Mus musculus: one gene and its partner. The protein of the gene in region 2 binds, or shares a complex with, the protein of the main gene of each other region. Each region holds a gene or a part of one and is shown on either strand. Other genes may lie near its edges.

Region 1 (7,923 bases), on a different chromosome or scaffold from region 2:
ATACAATACAGGTTAGGTTTAAGCAAATGTCACCTCATCAGCATCTGAAGTCCAAAAGGAAAAGGAAAAAGAAGAATCCCAGGAGAAATGAGTGCCAGAAGTTGTGACCACTCATGTTGTACCTCAATAAAAGCTCCAGAAGAGCTTTTATTTGTTGATCACTGTATCCTTAGCACCCAGGACCCTGGTTGGCACACAGATCTCAAAATACCCTCGAGGGCTGCCTTAACTACAAACCCTCTTCCTGGGTCTAGCTTCTGATCCCCAAAACTCTCACATCCCACCAAGCTGGGACTACCAAGTTTTATTCTTTTGTTGAGATTTTATTTTATGTACTAGGGTGTTCTGCCTGAATATCTGAACACCTAGTGCATGCCGTGCCCACAGAGGTCAGCGAGTGGCATCACATTCCAACACTGAAATCGCAGATGCTTGTAGCAGCTACATGGGAGCTGGAAACCAAACCTGGGTCCTCTGGAAGACTGAGGCATCTCTCCAGACCCATTTGATTATTGTGTGATTACTTCTGCCTTGAAACTCTCTTTGCCCTATAGCAATGCCTAGTCTGGGCAGCAGCACTGAAAGAGAGGAACCTGCCCAGGTCTGGTCAGCTCTGAAAGTGTACAGTAGATCTGTATGGCCCAGGCAGCAGGTCTCTCTGACTTTTTTTTTGATGGTCATGGTCAGGGCTCAAAGCCCAAAGAAGTTATTCCTAGCCTTCTTCAATGGTATACTGTTTTGAATTTCTCTTTCTAGTCAGATAAAATTCCTTTCGAGCCAAATCTGTTTCATTTCTTCAGCGAGGGAAGTGGAAGGACTTCATTAGCTCTGGTTGGCCTAGAACCACAGTGGCTCTCTTGCTTAGCCTCCCAGATGGCAGGATTACAGATGTGAGCTTTCATGCCTAGCTTGATATTTTCCTAACGAACAAATAATGCAACATCAGTCCAAGGCTACATTAACAGATGGCATGCACAGTCCTTGGCTATCAAAAAAACAAATCAAGCCGGGTGTGGTGGCGCATGTCTTTAGTCCCAGCACTAGGGAGGCAGAGGCAGGCAGATTTCTGAGTTCAAGGCCAGCCTGGTCTACAGAGTGAGTTCCAGGACAGCCAGGGCTACACAGAGAAACCCTGTCTCAAAAAACAAAAACAAAACAAAAACAAAAAAACCAAATCAGAACAAAACGAAACCCAAAGTGTTTATGGATATACTGACAAAGCACTCTTATTTCACTAAAAGTTAGATTAAAAATCATCATTTTTCTATTACTCCAACATTATCTAAGCCAGAATATTAACATCTGTATTTTTGACATTCTTCAGTTTCCATTATCATTGCTCAAATTCCACTGCAGAAGAACAGAAACTGGGTTTACCTAGCATAGTACCTGGCAGAATTTGAGGAAGGGTCTATAAAGGGGGAAAAGCTAATAGACAAGATTTTAACTACTATTAGTTATAAACGGTACCCACTGGCTCAAGGTTAATGTAAACACCCCCCCCAAAAAACCCAGTTGCCTCAAGATTGAGAATCTTAGCTCTTAGAAAGACAATCTGCTGCTTCATCTTACTCAAGCCTTCCTTTACACTACCCAACACTCTGTTTACAAGACAAGTATAATTGTGGCCAACAAGCCACAGCAGGAAATTTTTTAATTTAAGCAGAAATTTAATTACATGCAAAAAAGTCACAGCTGTATCAAGCAATCTTAATATCTGCACAAGTTCCTCTACAAAGAGATGAAATACCCCCACCCACACACCCACACACCCACACCCACACGCCCATGTACAACTGGAAAAACCAGTAACTAAAGAGCTCCAGAAGAGGCAGCAAATCCAAGTACTGAGCACTAAGATCTAACCACCAGCCTCACATGAGGCCCTCCCTGGTCCTGGTCCACATATACATAGGTCGACATAGCCTGTCCACATCTGAACAGGACATCATAGCTGTCTAATTTCTAAAGGTATGTAAGGCTGGACTCCACTGAGAACTGCTATTTTTACTCTAACCATGCACAGGTTAATCATTCAAGAACCATTTACAGAGCACCATGGTTTTGTTTGTTTTTCTTTTTGTTTTGTTTTTGTTTTTTGAGACAGGGTTTCTCTGTATAGCTCTGGCTGTCCTGGAACTCAACTTTGTAGTCCAGGCTTGCCTCGGACTCCGAAATCCGCCTACCTCTGCCTCCCAAGTGCTGGGATTAAAGGCTCGCACCACTACGCCCGGTTGAGCACCACATTTTAAAAGAATTGCTTTGAAGATAAAAAGACAAAAGGAGATGAGCAGCTGAGGTAGTGAAGGCAGAGGTCATCACCGGCTGCAGAGCCAGCCTGGACTATATGACAGTCTGTTTCAAATATATACACAAGGAGGAAATACTAGCAATAGACTTTCTTTCTAAGAAAAAACAAAAAGTGTGTGGCAAACCAGGCATGATGGCGCACTCCTTTAATCCCAGCACTTGGGAGGCAGAGGCAGGCGGATTTCTGAGTTCGAGGCCAGCCTGGTCTACAAAGTGAGTTCCAGGACAGCCAGGGCTATAAAGAGAAACCCTGTCTTGAAAAAAAAAAAAAAAAAAGTGTGTGGCACAGTGCATGTGCAGGTCAGAGGACAAGTAACCGTGTGGAGTAGACCCTCCTGGTTTCAGGAGTTGAACGCAGGCTGGCAAAGCACCCTCAAATGTACTAGAGACACACAAGTAATTTCAGGAAATTTACCTCTAGAATATGAGGAATTAGTTATTGGCAGTCAATGGCTGACAAGAACAGTCACAGTCCTATGAGCCACAGACGCTGGCCGGCTGGCCACCCATGTACACACAGACAACACTAACTGGTCTCAAAGGCTTATTAATAACAATGGGAATTTATTAATAAAACAACATAGGATCTGAAGTTGGGGAGATGGAAACACTTGGGGTGGTGTTGGAGGTAGTGTTGAAGGGATACAATCAACATACATGGTGTAAATACATGAAATTTTCAAAGAGTAAAAAAATATTTAAAAGAAAATAGTAGTGACTGTGTAGCAATTATGGAATTATGATAAAGACAAAAAGAAATTAGACTTTGAAATTCCTTTTTAGGTTTTGTGGAAAGAATATGGTAGGGTTATTTTTGTTTTACTTCCCAGTCACTCCAGCATCGGATCCTCTTGCCTCTGCTCTATACTGCCTTGTACACTTGTACCGTCAAGGAAAACGAGCATCAGCCGGGCAGTGGTGGCACATGCCTGTAATCCCAGCATTTGGGAGTCAGAGGCAGGCAGATTTCTGAGTTCGAGGCCAGTCCTGGTCTCCAGGACAGCCAGGGCTACACAGAGAAACCCTGTCTCGAAAAACAAAAAAACAAACCAACAAACAAAAAAAGAAAGAAAGAAAGAAAGAAAAGAAAAGAAAAGAAAAGAAAAGAAAAGAAAAGAAAAGAAAAGAGAAAAGAAAGGCAGGCAGGCATCACTGTTCTCTTGGGAGCTAATTACATAAAAAGTACTAATGATTACTAAATAAAAGCTTGAACTGGGGGAAGTGTAGCCGCCTGTAATCCCAGTACCAGGCAGAAGCAAGAGTTTCAGAAGTTCAGGCCAGTTTAGGCTACAAAGGACACTGTCTATAAATAAATAAACAAATAAGGGCTGGCAACAGTTACAAGCCTAGCCTACACGCAGTACAAGGCAGAGGCAAAAGGATCCGGAGTTAAGGACCAGCTCTGGCTACAAGAGACACTGAAGAAAGAGGAGAGGGAGAGGAGAGAGAAGAAGAGAAAGAGAAAGAGAAAGAGAAAGAGAAAGAGAAAGAGAAAGAGAGAGAGAGAGAGAGAGAGAGAGAGAGAGAGAGAGAGAGAGAGAGAAAGAGAAAGAGAAGAAAGAGAAAGAGAAAGAGAGGAAAGGAAAGAAAAGAAAGAGGAGAGGAGGGGGAGGGGAGGGGGAGGGAGAGAGGAGAGGGAGAGGAGAGGGAGAAGAGAGGGAGAAGAGAGGGAGAAGAAAAGAGAAGAGAAAAAAGAGAAAGAAGAAAGGAAAGGAAAGAAAGAAAGACAAGTTTTCGTTTGTATGCCACTGAACCCACATACTGAATGAAACAAATGCTTCCTGGGATAAATTTTCTCCACAGCGCCAAATCAAAAAAGCCAAAAGCTTTCATGAGAACACTAGGCTCTCAGATTAAGAAACTAACCCCAAGAGTGGCGTGGTTGCACACACCTTTAATCCCAGCGCCAGGAGGTAAAGGAAGGCTAGTCGGGTCTACAGAGCGAGATCCAGAACAGCCAGGGAGAGAGAGAAAGAACGTCAATATTATCACCTTTAAAAGCAACAAAAACAAAACAACAAACGCCGGTGAGGGGGCTCAGCAGGTAGAGGCATTTGCCCAGCATGCCGGGCTACCCGAGTTCAACTCTGGGACCCTCGTAAAGGCGGATGGAGGGAAGCGACCCCAGAGAGTTGTCCTCTGACCTCCACTCACGCGCCCACATCTACACCATACTCAACAATAGCAATAAATCTAAAACTAAAAACAAAGGCCAACACAAAGGAGAAACAACAGAAAGAAGTAAGCCACCAGAAAGCAGTACAACTCCAACCTAACAAACTGTACGAAAAGAAGCTGAACCCCAACCTCCAGGCTCTGGGGATTTTACAAGGCGGAAGTTTCGGGATGGGGGCGTGAAAGCTTCGAACGCGTTCCCTGGTCGGGTGTCGCGGGGGCGGAACAGGGAGCCTGGAGGCCCGAGCACTCACCTAGCGCAGCCCAGGCTACCCGCCGCAGCTCCGGGTCGGGACCAAGTTGAAATGAAACCGGGAAAGCCCCTCTTAAAAGGATAGTTCCCGCACCGGCGGGGACACGCCCCGGAAGTGCGTGCTCTACGGGCGTGCGCGCGCAGGCGGAACCTGCGGAGGGGCGTGGCCGAGCTCGGGGTGCTTCTGCGCACTGTGCGCCGCGGCTAGGAAATGGGAGTAGGCGTGGGGAAGGAAAGTAGGCGGGGCGAAGGACTTGGCAATACCCCGCCTACTTCAGTACTTACTCTGTGGACCATTATCTCTTCCCAGGGCTTCTTCACTCTGCCTTAGCAGGAGATTTACACTAAGCTGCTCTGAGGTTAGGAGGTCAGGGGCTCTCTTACAGGTGAGTGTCAGTGCTCAAGCAATTCGTTTATGACAAATCTTGCTTTAGAGCCCGGTACTTAGGATTATGAAGCCTGGGACCCATGTGTCAGGGTAACGCGAATACTCTCAAGACATGCTAAGGGGTGAGATTTTATTTCCAATTCCAGGTGATCCATCACCCTCTTCCTATATCACAAAACACAGGGCACAAACTGGTACACATACATGCATGCAGGCAAGCCACTGCATATATGAAATAATGTTTTACAGGGTTTAAAGTCTTCTAAATTTTTCACCAAAAATAGAAAATATATTTTCTGCTCTAGTAGATGTGAACGTTAGTGTCACAGAGCACAGAAAACTATAATCAGCACATCAGCAAGAATAAAAAAGACCACTTAGAGAGATATAGATCAATTACTCCAAGAGATGGATTTATAATCTATACAAATGCAAAGGCCTGTTAATTTATAAAACCGGATTATAATTTAAAAGCTTCTCAAAGGTGCAAAATGAATGTATATGGTATACTTAAATATATAGGAAATCCTAGAACCTACAGGATGAATCTGTAGTAACTAATCAGAAGTATCCGGGTGGGAGTTAGTTAGGAGTTGGGAATGATGTTCTGTAGTGGAGATGTCTTCCCAGGTGTACAGTTTTACACATGAAATGAAAGTTGTAATTTGAGTTTATGTAAATTATACCTCAGTGATGTTTTGTTGTTGTTTTTTCCTTGGATATTTTCTTTTCTTTTAAGAATTATTTATTATATGTATATGAGTACACTGTAACTGTCTTCTGACACACCAGAAGAGAGCATCAGATCCCATTACAGGTGGTTGTGAGCCACCATGTGGTTGCTGGGAATTGAACTCAAGGTCTCTGGAAGAGCAGTCGGTGCTCTTAACCGCTGAGCCATCCAGATATTTTCTTTACTTACAATTCAAATGTTATCCCCTTTCCCACCCTGGCCCCCAGGAAACCCCCTATCCCATCCTCCCTCCCCCTGCTTCTATGAGGATGTTCCTCCACCCATCCACCTACTCCCACATACCTGTTTGTTGCTGTTTCAAGACAAAGTCTCACTCTATAACCTCTCCTAGCCTGGAACTTATCACATACCCCAGGTTGACCTCAGACTCATAGTTTCTCTGCTCTTAAGAGTCCCCATTACAGCCATGGGCTTCTGTGCCTGGCGTCAGTGAAAATGTTTGAAATAGAAAGACAAACCCCCAAAAGGTGACTTACAGTGTGTGGTGGTTTGAATATGTTTGGCCCAGGAAAGTGGTACTGTTAGGAGACATAGCCTTATTGGAGTAGGTGTGGCCTTGTTGGAGGAAATGTGCCACTGTGGGGATGGGCTTTGAGACACTCCTCCTAGCTACCTGGAAGACAGTAGTCTTCTCCTGTTTGCCTTTGAAACAAGGTTTACAACTCTCAGATCCTCCAGCCATGCCTGCCTGGAAACTTCCATGATGAGAATGGACTGAACCCGTGAACCTGTAAGCATGCTCCAATTAAATGTTCACCTTTATAAGAGCTGCCGTGGTCATGGTGTCTCTTCACAGCAATGAAACCCTAAGACACAGTGACTACTTCTATTTACTTACTTGTACAATTAAACAACAAACAGTTATAGTTACCCTTAAACCACAGAGATTTCAAACTTCTCTTTTTTTAGAAGATAGAATCACAATAAATAACCCATGGTCACCTCAAACTCAAGGGGGAATCCTCCTGCCTCCGTTTCCTAAGTGCGGTCACACAATTTTCTGCTGACCTACTTTGCCTTTTTACTTTTGCAGTGCTGAGTCCAGTTCTATATAGAGCTGCATCCCAGCTCTTCCTAGCTCCATCCAGCTCACCAGCTCACAGCTGGATGCATGCAATCACTAGAACCCATAAAAGTAAAAATAAAGGGTCCTGTATAGTTTTTTGTCAACTTGACACAAGCTAGAGTCATCTGAAAGGAGGGAGCCTCAGTTGAGAAAGATCATAAGATCCAACTGTAGGAGATTTTCTTAATTAGTAATTAATATGGGAAGACTCAGGCCATTGTTGGTAGGGCCATCCCTGGGCTTGCGGTCCTAGGTTCTATGAAAAAGCAGACTGAGCAAGCCATGAGGAGCAAGCCAGTAAGCATCAGCTTACTCCATGGCCTCTGCATCAGCTCCTGCCTCCAGGTTCCTGCCCTGTTTGAGTTCCTGTCCTGGCTTCCTCCAGTGATAGACTATAAAGTGGAAGTATAAGCCCAACCCTTTCCTCCCCAACTTGCTTTTGGTTGTGGTGTTTTATCACAGTAACAGTAGCCCAGACTAGGACTGGGGCTAGGGATATGGTGATACACACCTTTGATCCCAGCACTCTCAGGAGGCAGAGACAGGAGGATCCCTATGAGTTTGAGCCATCCTGGTCTATATAACAAGATCTAGGACAGCCAAAGTTACATAGAGATACCCCGTCTCAAAGGAGGAGAAAGAGAAGGGAAAGGAATAAGGAAGAAGAGGAGAAGAGGAGGAGAAGGAAGGAAGGAAGGAAGGGAGGAAGGGAGGGAGGGAGGGAGGGAGGGAGGGAGGGAGGGAGGGAGGGAGGGAGGGAGGGAGGGAGGACTGGAAGGAAGGAAGGAAGGAAGGAAAGAAAGGAAGGAAAGAAAGGAAGGATTGCATAGCTTCCGTCTGGATAGAATACATGTCAGTTGCCCTCACATTTCATTACCCTAGAAAATCATGTGGTCAGTCTAACTTCAAAGGAACAGACATGTGCGACTCTGCAGTGTCCTCTGGAGAGAGTGCATAGGAGCCATTACTGCTTCACT
Region 2 (7,923 bases):
GACTAGGCCTCCAAGCCAGTCCCTGGTCTCCAACCTCCTCTGGGAACAAGTAGAAAGGAGAGGGGAAGGGGAAGCCCCAACATGCAGGTTCCCTAAAGGAGCTGGAAACTGGCTTGGGTGGCACGGAGAAGGAATGCCATGGCTTTTAGTAAGGGGTCCTCCCCTCCTCCCAGGTCCTGTGCTACCCAGCCTGGAGTAGCTCTTGTATGAACTGCAGACCATAAGGAGCCTGGAAAACAGGGCCAGGAAAGCCGGACAGTTCATTTCTGAAATGACACCTCCCTGCAGGGCCTGGCAGGGCACTGCTGGCACGAGCATCAACTGGCCCAACCAGGGTGAGAGCCCCATTGTAAGCCCAGACGCTTTCAATCTAGGTACTGGAGGGCCTGCCACCTGAACCCAATGGAGGAGGGTCTTGCTCTAATTCTCAGCTCAACTAGAGTCTTGTCCTCTGCACACTTGGGGACAGCTGCCCACAAGCTTGGACCACAGACCCTTCTATATGTGGCCAGCCCAGCAGGAGGGGAATGCAGCTGCTCCTGAGTAGCTCAGCCCCTGTCTCTGCAGCCACACCCTGAATTTGTCTGAGAGTCCCCGGGCATCTGCCGTGGCTCTCCCCAGGCAGAGAGTGAGAGATCTGGTTGAGTCCCCATCTCAACAGGCCTCAGGGCCACCTCTAGAGACAGCTGTGGCGGTCTAACAGAAGAGGCTTCTAGACATCTGCTCTAGGCCGGCACAGGAGGCTGTGGAAGGAGAGCTTCCTGCCCTTAGGCTCCAGGGGCATCAGATGGATCCAGGGCAAGGCCTGGAACAGGCAGAGTCACAGGCAGGGAGTGGGGGGTTGAATGGGAGAACACCGAGCAGCAATGGCCCACGTGTGGGTGCTGGATTTTTATGCAAACAAATCAAATTCCTCAATGTCTCCTACAGACCAGATGACGGCTGCGGCTCTTCCTCCAGCAAAAGCTAACAGCACCTCCCCAGACACCAGCAGTTCAGCCGAACTGGCATACCTCAGCCGAAACTGAGGATCACTCTCTGTCTGCCCACAAGTGCTAAGGACTTACATCCTAGGAGGAAGATACAGGGGACAGCGGTGCAGCAACCCTACACTGGTTAAAGAGTCTTCTGAGCCTCATCACACCCTGAAGCCCCGAGAAGCCCCAGCCTGTGTGGCCTCAGGCTATATACCCCAAAACCTTTGTGCACCAGAAACTCTCAGATCCTCAACATACCTGATCATACTACTGCCTGCTGCTCAAACACTTTGATGCTTAGATCTTTAGTAACAAGGGTCTTGTGGACATGTGCCCCTGCACAACTCACTAGGTTTCCATGGTAACCCTTTCTCACCTGCTGATGTGTGAAAGCTCTGTGATTTCCTGTAAGTCTTTCCAACATATAAAGCTTCCTGTTTCGGGCCTTTGCACTCGCTGCTCATGCACCCTCTACCCTCATCAGTAATTAACTGACCACACACACACACACACACACACACACACACACACACGCAAGCACATGCAAGCACGCACACTCAGAATTAGAGCAGGACTGGAAACAGACAGCTGTGGCTCTCTCCGGGCTGAGCTCCCACTATGCAGTGACCTTGGATACTTTGGCCCTCACTTGCTCCCTCGCATCAGCTTCTACCTTCAGGTAGGGTAAGCCATTAAAGATGCATAATGCCAATTGACATAAAGCTACTCTGCCAAAAGTTGCCATGAACAGGGTCCTCCCAGAACCTTACAGCTTTGGGGGACAACTTAAAAATGATCTCAATCTCTCAATGAGGAGACTGAGTCACCAAAACAGCTTTGCCCAAAGTCTCCTCATCTGCTCCTGAAAACAGCCCGGGGACAGCACACCAAACCTACGACAACCAGCTACGGCTGGAGAGAAAGCCACAGAGGTGAGATGAAGGTCCTCCAGGCCTGATCTAGGGATCCTCCAGAGCCTTTTAGAGGATCCGAAAGAACGGAGCTACTGTCTGAAATGCTAGGATGGTATTGCCTTGGGTGCTCTCACTCGCTCCAGAGGAGCCGTTGAGAAGACACACGTGTGATGACATCGTCACTCCTGTCAGGTTTGAGTGCACATCTGTCTCAGTACTGTTTTCTAACAGAATATATGGGTAAGTGTGACTTTCATAAATGAAAGCCTTTTGGAGTCGTCAATAATGTTTAGGAATGTGAAAGAGCCAGGTGCCAGGCAGTGGTGATGCACACCTTTAATCCCAGCACTCGGGAGGCAGAGGCAGGCAGATTTCTGAGTTCGAGGCCAGCCTGGTCCACAGAGTGAGTTCCAGGACAGCCAGGGCTACACAGAGAAACCCTGTCTCGAAAAAAAAAGAAAAGAAAAAGAAAAACAAACAAACAAATAAACAAAAAAACAAAATGAAAGAGCCAGGCATTGTGGCACAGTCCTTTAATCCCAGCACACAGGAGGCAGAAGAACATGTCCCAAGCCAGCAAAGGCTACAGGGATGCCCTATCTCAACAAAGGAAAAGAATCTAAGAGAGTTTAGGCTAAAGAATTCTGAACTATTTTTGCTTGATTTCACTTCAGAGCCCTGCCAGCATCTTTGGGCAACCTCCCCTCCATCCACATCCCAAGATCCTTGCATCTGATGGAGGAAAAGGGACCTGGGACATGTCTGGGGTTCTTGGACCGCCTTTCAGCCTTCCTCGCAACACTCCGCTCTTCAGCTTGACCAGACAGATCTCACCTGAATCTCAGAGCAAGTACCAAGCACAGCTGTGCTTATCTTGCTGTATGGAAGGGTTGCTTAATCACCTGCCCAATGTGATTGACATCTTTGTCTACCTGAAAACAAGGACTGTGAGTCTCTCTTGTGCCAGGGAGAGGAGACAGAGCTGAAGGCTAAGACTACTCAGCTTACAAAACAACAGGGTGATAAATGAAAAGTACTCACGCAACTTCCAGGCTGTCTTGGTGACCACAGGGGTGGCCATGCTTCAGGGGGTGGCGCCTGAGACCCCACCCACAAAACAGATTGTGCTTTCTCTGTGGGGTGGGGGTGGATCCCCCCCAGATCCGACAATCAAGTTGGCAGGGAGTTCCCACACATCCAGGCAGAGAGTCCGCCTCTCCTGGCCCAGGACTGCCTGGTGGTTTAGATCATCCGCTATCAAGCAGCAGCCTGGACACATAGGTCGGGATCCCAGATCATGGAATGTCAGGCTTGGACCATCTCAGCTCAACACTGGGCTAGAATGCAAGCAGAGGCGATGGTGGGTTAGGAACTGCTTGAGACGAGTTACAAGTCCCTGGGTCATCAAGGCCACTTGATACAGACTAGCCAGAGCCTCCAGGGCCTGGAGCTGCAGTGCACACTGGGTCTGAAAACCTGTGACTTAAGAGCCCAAAGATAAAAGACCTTCCCTAGGTAGCTGGGCCTGGTGGCTCACGCCTTTAACCCCAGCACTCAGGAGGCCAGCTAGAAGTAGGCAGATCTCTGTCAGTTCCTATCTCAAAGAAAAGAAGGAAGGAAGGAAGGAAGGACAGACTGACATAGGTAGGTGGAGAGGGGATGGAGAGACTGACTTCTCAGGGGCCTACAGTAATGCTCCTGGATGCTGGGTGTCCTAACTTGCCAACCCAGCACCTGCTATGGGGCAGAGAGGATCACATAACTGCAGTCCACTTGGATTTGCACCCCATGTATTGGATGGGGCACTGGAGTCTGAGGTTATGTTTTGGTGCCCATGAGAGGCATCCAAAAGGCAGAGAGACAGAGAGATACACGGAGACGAACAGAGAGACTGAGAGATAGGCAGACGTTCAGAGAGAGAGAGAGAGAGAGAGAGAGAGAGAGAGAGAGAGAGAGAGAACAGTAAAGGCCTTGGGAGGGGGTGATGTTGAGAGGATTCTGAGGGTCCAATCTTCTTGCTTCCTCCATCACCAACTCCCTGGTAAGGGAACCACGCCCACTCCCTGCAACTCTCAAGGGCATAGCTAGGAATTGAGTCTCCAGTCTAGGTGTGAGTCGGAATGACTCCTCAATTCTAAAAGGCCACAGCGTGGATGGAGCCTTCCACCGCCGCCACGGCCCTTCGCCTCTTGCCCAGGAGCTCTCTCGCTGGATTCTCTTTCTCCTGTTGCCTATGCTCCCGTTCTGGCACATCTTGAGCTTCCTTAGTTGGCCATGCTTCGCCAGACCCTCTTTACTTCTCTTGCCCCGCTGCTATCAGAATCCCCCATTCATTCGCTCTCCTGTTTCTGGAGCCCCGACTCAATACGATCCTCCGCACACCCTCAGCTCTGCTTCCGGCCCACCAGCTTTCCCTCTCCGGCCTCCACACACCCGTCCTGCTCGTTCATCCCAAACCTGCCACCGGTCCCTCAGCTTCGCTTGACCCTCCTCCCGTCTGCCTTGAGGGGCACTGGCTCCAGCCTGTCCTGGCCGAGAGCCTCCTGCCGGCGACCGGACTGTCCCCTCCAGGCTCGGCGAAGACTAGAGCCATTTTCCCTTTGCCTCCAAGACCCCGAGAGCCACTCTACCTGCAGCTGTAGCTCTGGAGGCCAAGGCTTCCCTCCAGGCGCGACCCCCACTTGCCTCCATCCTTTGCCCTGATTGGTCGCTGCTTGACAACCGACCCTCACAACAAAACCTCCGGCCTAGAGTCCCTCCCACTTCACTTCTTACACCAATCAGTCGCCACGGACGCCCCGCCTTCCTCTAGAATTGACCAATGGAAGCAAGCGCTTCCGCCGATTTACGTAACTACCCGCCTCCTTTCCCCGACTCAGACTAATCACGAGAAAGAAGCGCTTACGGACCGCCCTTAGGTCCCAGAAGAACCAATACAGGCTTCTGCGTTCTTAGTCCCGCCCCCAGTCAGGCTTGGTTTTTTCCGCCCTTTTCCTGCATTTCCTGGAACCCGGTTGTGTTTAAAAAATCCGCGAGCTGCACCCGATGGCGGCTGCGCCAATCACTTCAGCAACAGCTCTGGATTGACCAATAAACGTTAGTGTTATTGGAGAACCAGCTCTGAGATAGCCAATGGAAAGGGGACTTCTAGAGTGGTATGAAGTTGCAGATCTTCCATATTGAAACAGGGCTGCCAGGACCCCGCCCTCAGACTGTGAGTGTCGCCCGCGTAGTGGGAGGACTTGGCTCTTACTTGGATCCACACGTCTCCTGGAGTTCGCTGACCTCGAGGGAAACAGAGCTTAGTTACAGTGGGGTCGATGTCGAGCCCAGGAGTTCGTCCCTAAGATCACAGTAGCACAGTGGGATGAGTTAGGCTTGTGTCTGCTCGCCTGCGTGCGGAAGTAAAACTACGGAACCGGAGAAAGGCTAATATCTGTGACAGGACAGACAGGTTGGGATGGGGACAGGCTACATAACCCACCATGAGTTCGGGTCCCCCCCTTACTGAGAAACTCGGTCCCAGCCCTTTGCAGAAATAACCTCCAACTCTGGTCTATCCTACACTCACTCCCCTCTGGTCGGGGCTGCTGCATCTGGCGTTCTCCTCTACACAGTCCGGAACGGGAGGAATTTCCCATTTCTAGACGAGGAAACAGATGCTGTGGTGAAAAAGACCAGACATTTGGAAGATCGGACCCAGGACTTAAACTTTTGTTCTTAAAGGCAAGGCACACAAAGTCCCTATTAAATGCAAAACCTTTACGGGAACAAAAGTCACCCACCAGCCTAATGGGAAGTCGGCCCTGCGTAGAAATGGGTAATTATTAAGAGACCTGGATTTGGAGAATAACATTTGATCAAAACTTTGTACTTTGCTGTTCCCGCAACTTTTTATTTAAAAAAAAAAGTCAAATTCTTCATTTTGACACATTTTGCCTTATCTGCTTTGTTTATACAATTATATGTACATTACAGATCCTAAGACATTTCAGTCATGGCAACACTGAGCCTGAAGATCGTTAAGGGCCCTTAGTCACATAACCAATGTCACCACCCCTGAAATAACTTCATTCTCTAACATGCAGACTATATTAAAATGACTGTCACCATCCCCAATACACATAACTTATAAGCAGGAACAAGACTGGGGATGTAGCTCAGTGATAAGAGAGTCTTGACTGGTATGTAGGAGGCACTAGGTTCAATCCCCAGCACTGGAAATACAAACTACCTAGGACCAAGAGAAATGGCAAGGCTCAGTGGCTAAGAGTGATTGCAGTGCAAGAATGAAGACCTGAGTTCAAATCCTCACGACCCATGTAAAAATCTGGGCATGGTGCATGTGTGCTTATAAGGAGCAGTGTTATAGGGAGCAGAAACAAGAGGATTACTAAGATTGTTGGTTGTCATCCTAACTACGGGTTCAGTGAGAGACCCTGACTCGAGGGAATAAGGTGAAGAATGTCAGAGGACAATGCATAGTGATACAATGGGACATGTGTACACACACACCACACATGTGGGGGGCGGGGCACAGTATCTTTATAGGAACCAGACAAGATTCTGCACTCTTGGCATACTTGACTCTTCTAAGATCATCCTATTTCTGTCTCTTGGATCTCCCACTACCCTTCCTCTCTCTCTTCTCTCCTCCCTCTGTATCAGGGTCTCACTTTGTAGATCAGGCTGGCCTTGGACTGACAGAGATGAAGAGCTGGCATTAAAGGCATGGGCTACCACATGAGCATGCACCCCTGGCTTTAACCATGGGTTTGGAACTATGCATTAAAGCTTACTGGGCTCATCTTTGAGTGAAAACAATGACTGCCCCGCAACCGGAATTCAGCAGCAGCCAGTAATTCAACAAGAAGAGAGCCCCAGGAGTCCCTCCCTGATACATGATTGCCTAACCACTGGCCCAGGTAGTACAGGCAACCACAGCCGCTGTGAGACCTGTCTTGAGTGTGTCATGCCCTGGAGAAGATTACAGGCAAGGTCTTCTTTTCTTCTTCTTCTTCTCCTTCTTCTTCTTCTTTCCTTCTTTTCTTCTTCTTTTCTTTTCTTTTCTTTTCTTTTCTCTTCTTCTTCTTCTTCTTCTTCTTCTTCTTCTTCTTCTTCTTCTTCTTCTTCTTCTTCTTCTTCTCTCCTCCTCCTTCCCCTCCTCTTCCTCTTCCTCCTCCTCCTTCTTGTTTTAATTATTTATGTGTATATGAATACACTGTTGCTGTCTTCAGACACACCCGAAGAGGGCATCTTATTACAGATGGTTGTGAGCCACCATGTGGTTGCTGGGAATTGAACTCAGGACCTCTGGATGAGCAGTCAGTGCCATCTCTCCAGTCCCTTTTATTTTTTGTTTATTTTTTTTTTTAAACAGAGCTTCATGTGACCCATGTAGTTGAAACAGATTCCTTATGTAGATGAGACAGATCTTAAACTCTGATCCTCCTGCTTAGATTACAGGCATGGGCTACTATACCCAGTTTTCTCTGCTTTTTAAGTCTTACTTCAGGAAACATGGATAGCCCCATTTCACAGGTGGTAAATGAAAGAGGAACTTGGATTCTGTCTCTTGTCCTCTAATATCAAGCCGCCTGGTCCTGGGGTGTGTTCCTTAGCTAAGCCGCTCTCACTTTAGGAGCTGCTCCACCATCAACACATTGAGCTCTCAGCAGATCTTGGCAGGTGACCATGGAACCATCTGGAGAGCCAACACTTGATAATCCAGAAGAGAAGATGACAGAAAAAGATTTAGGGTGGTGTAGATTGGAGCTTGTAAACACTGAAGTATAAATGGCAAACAGGAAATGCATTTATTTGAGGGAGGCTATGAGGGATAGGGAGGTAGTGTGGCAGCGAGGCTAGTATAGGATCATAGTGGTTGGGGAGAAGGGAGAGACTCCATTCTCTGGCAGGGTCTGCCGTAGTTCCAGGAGGGGCCATCAAACAAAGACTTTTACGAAGTCTATTAAGCGTGGGTCTTTGTAGAGCTTTTCCTCCAGCGCCAGGTACTTCAGTGGAGCCAGCTC

What was found. The genes of interacting proteins can lie anywhere in the genome.
Region 1: the proteins of Katnb1 (region 2) and Katna1 are in contact, whole or in part, in a crystal structure (PDB 5OW5), measured with the Mus musculus proteins. Residues at the interface, in NP_083081.2 of Mus musculus: Leu485, Val486, Asp487, Glu488, Ala490, Met491, Gln493, Ile494, Arg495, Gly497, His498, Met501, Phe502, Val504, Leu505, Thr506, Arg508, His509, Leu512, Asp513, Val515, Arg516, Trp519, Thr521, Asp542, Leu543, Ile546, Gln549, Lys550, Leu553; in NP_035965.2 of Mus musculus: Leu5, Gln6, Ile8, Val9, Val12, Arg16, Ala19, Leu20, Leu21, Gly22, Tyr24, Tyr31, Tyr41, Leu50, Lys53, Trp54, Gln56, Val57, Glu60, Ile61, Val63, Glu64, Gln67, Val68, Asp70, Ile71, Thr74, Leu75, Ser77, Phe78.

Annotation. Positions count from the first base shown.
Region 1 is NC_000076.6:7,722,940-7,730,862, reverse strand, and holds the start of Katna1 (katanin p60 ATPase-containing subunit A1), read right to left. Parts: upstream 4,864-7,923; 5' UTR 4,740-4,863; intron 1-4,739. UniProt on the Homo sapiens protein: Catalytic subunit of a complex which severs microtubules in an ATP-dependent manner. Microtubule severing may promote rapid reorganization of cellular microtubule arrays and the release of microtubules from the centrosome following nucleation.
Region 2 is NC_000074.6:95,077,903-95,085,825, reverse strand, and holds the start of Katnb1 (katanin p80 WD40 repeat-containing subunit B1), read right to left. Parts: upstream 4,626-7,923; 5' UTR 4,522-4,625; exon of another isoform or gene 4,325-4,521; intron 3,229-4,324; 5' UTR 2,973-3,228; coding exon 2,933-2,972; intron 1-2,932. Other genes in the region: Drc7 (dynein regulatory complex subunit 7), read right to left, coding at 7,837-7,923.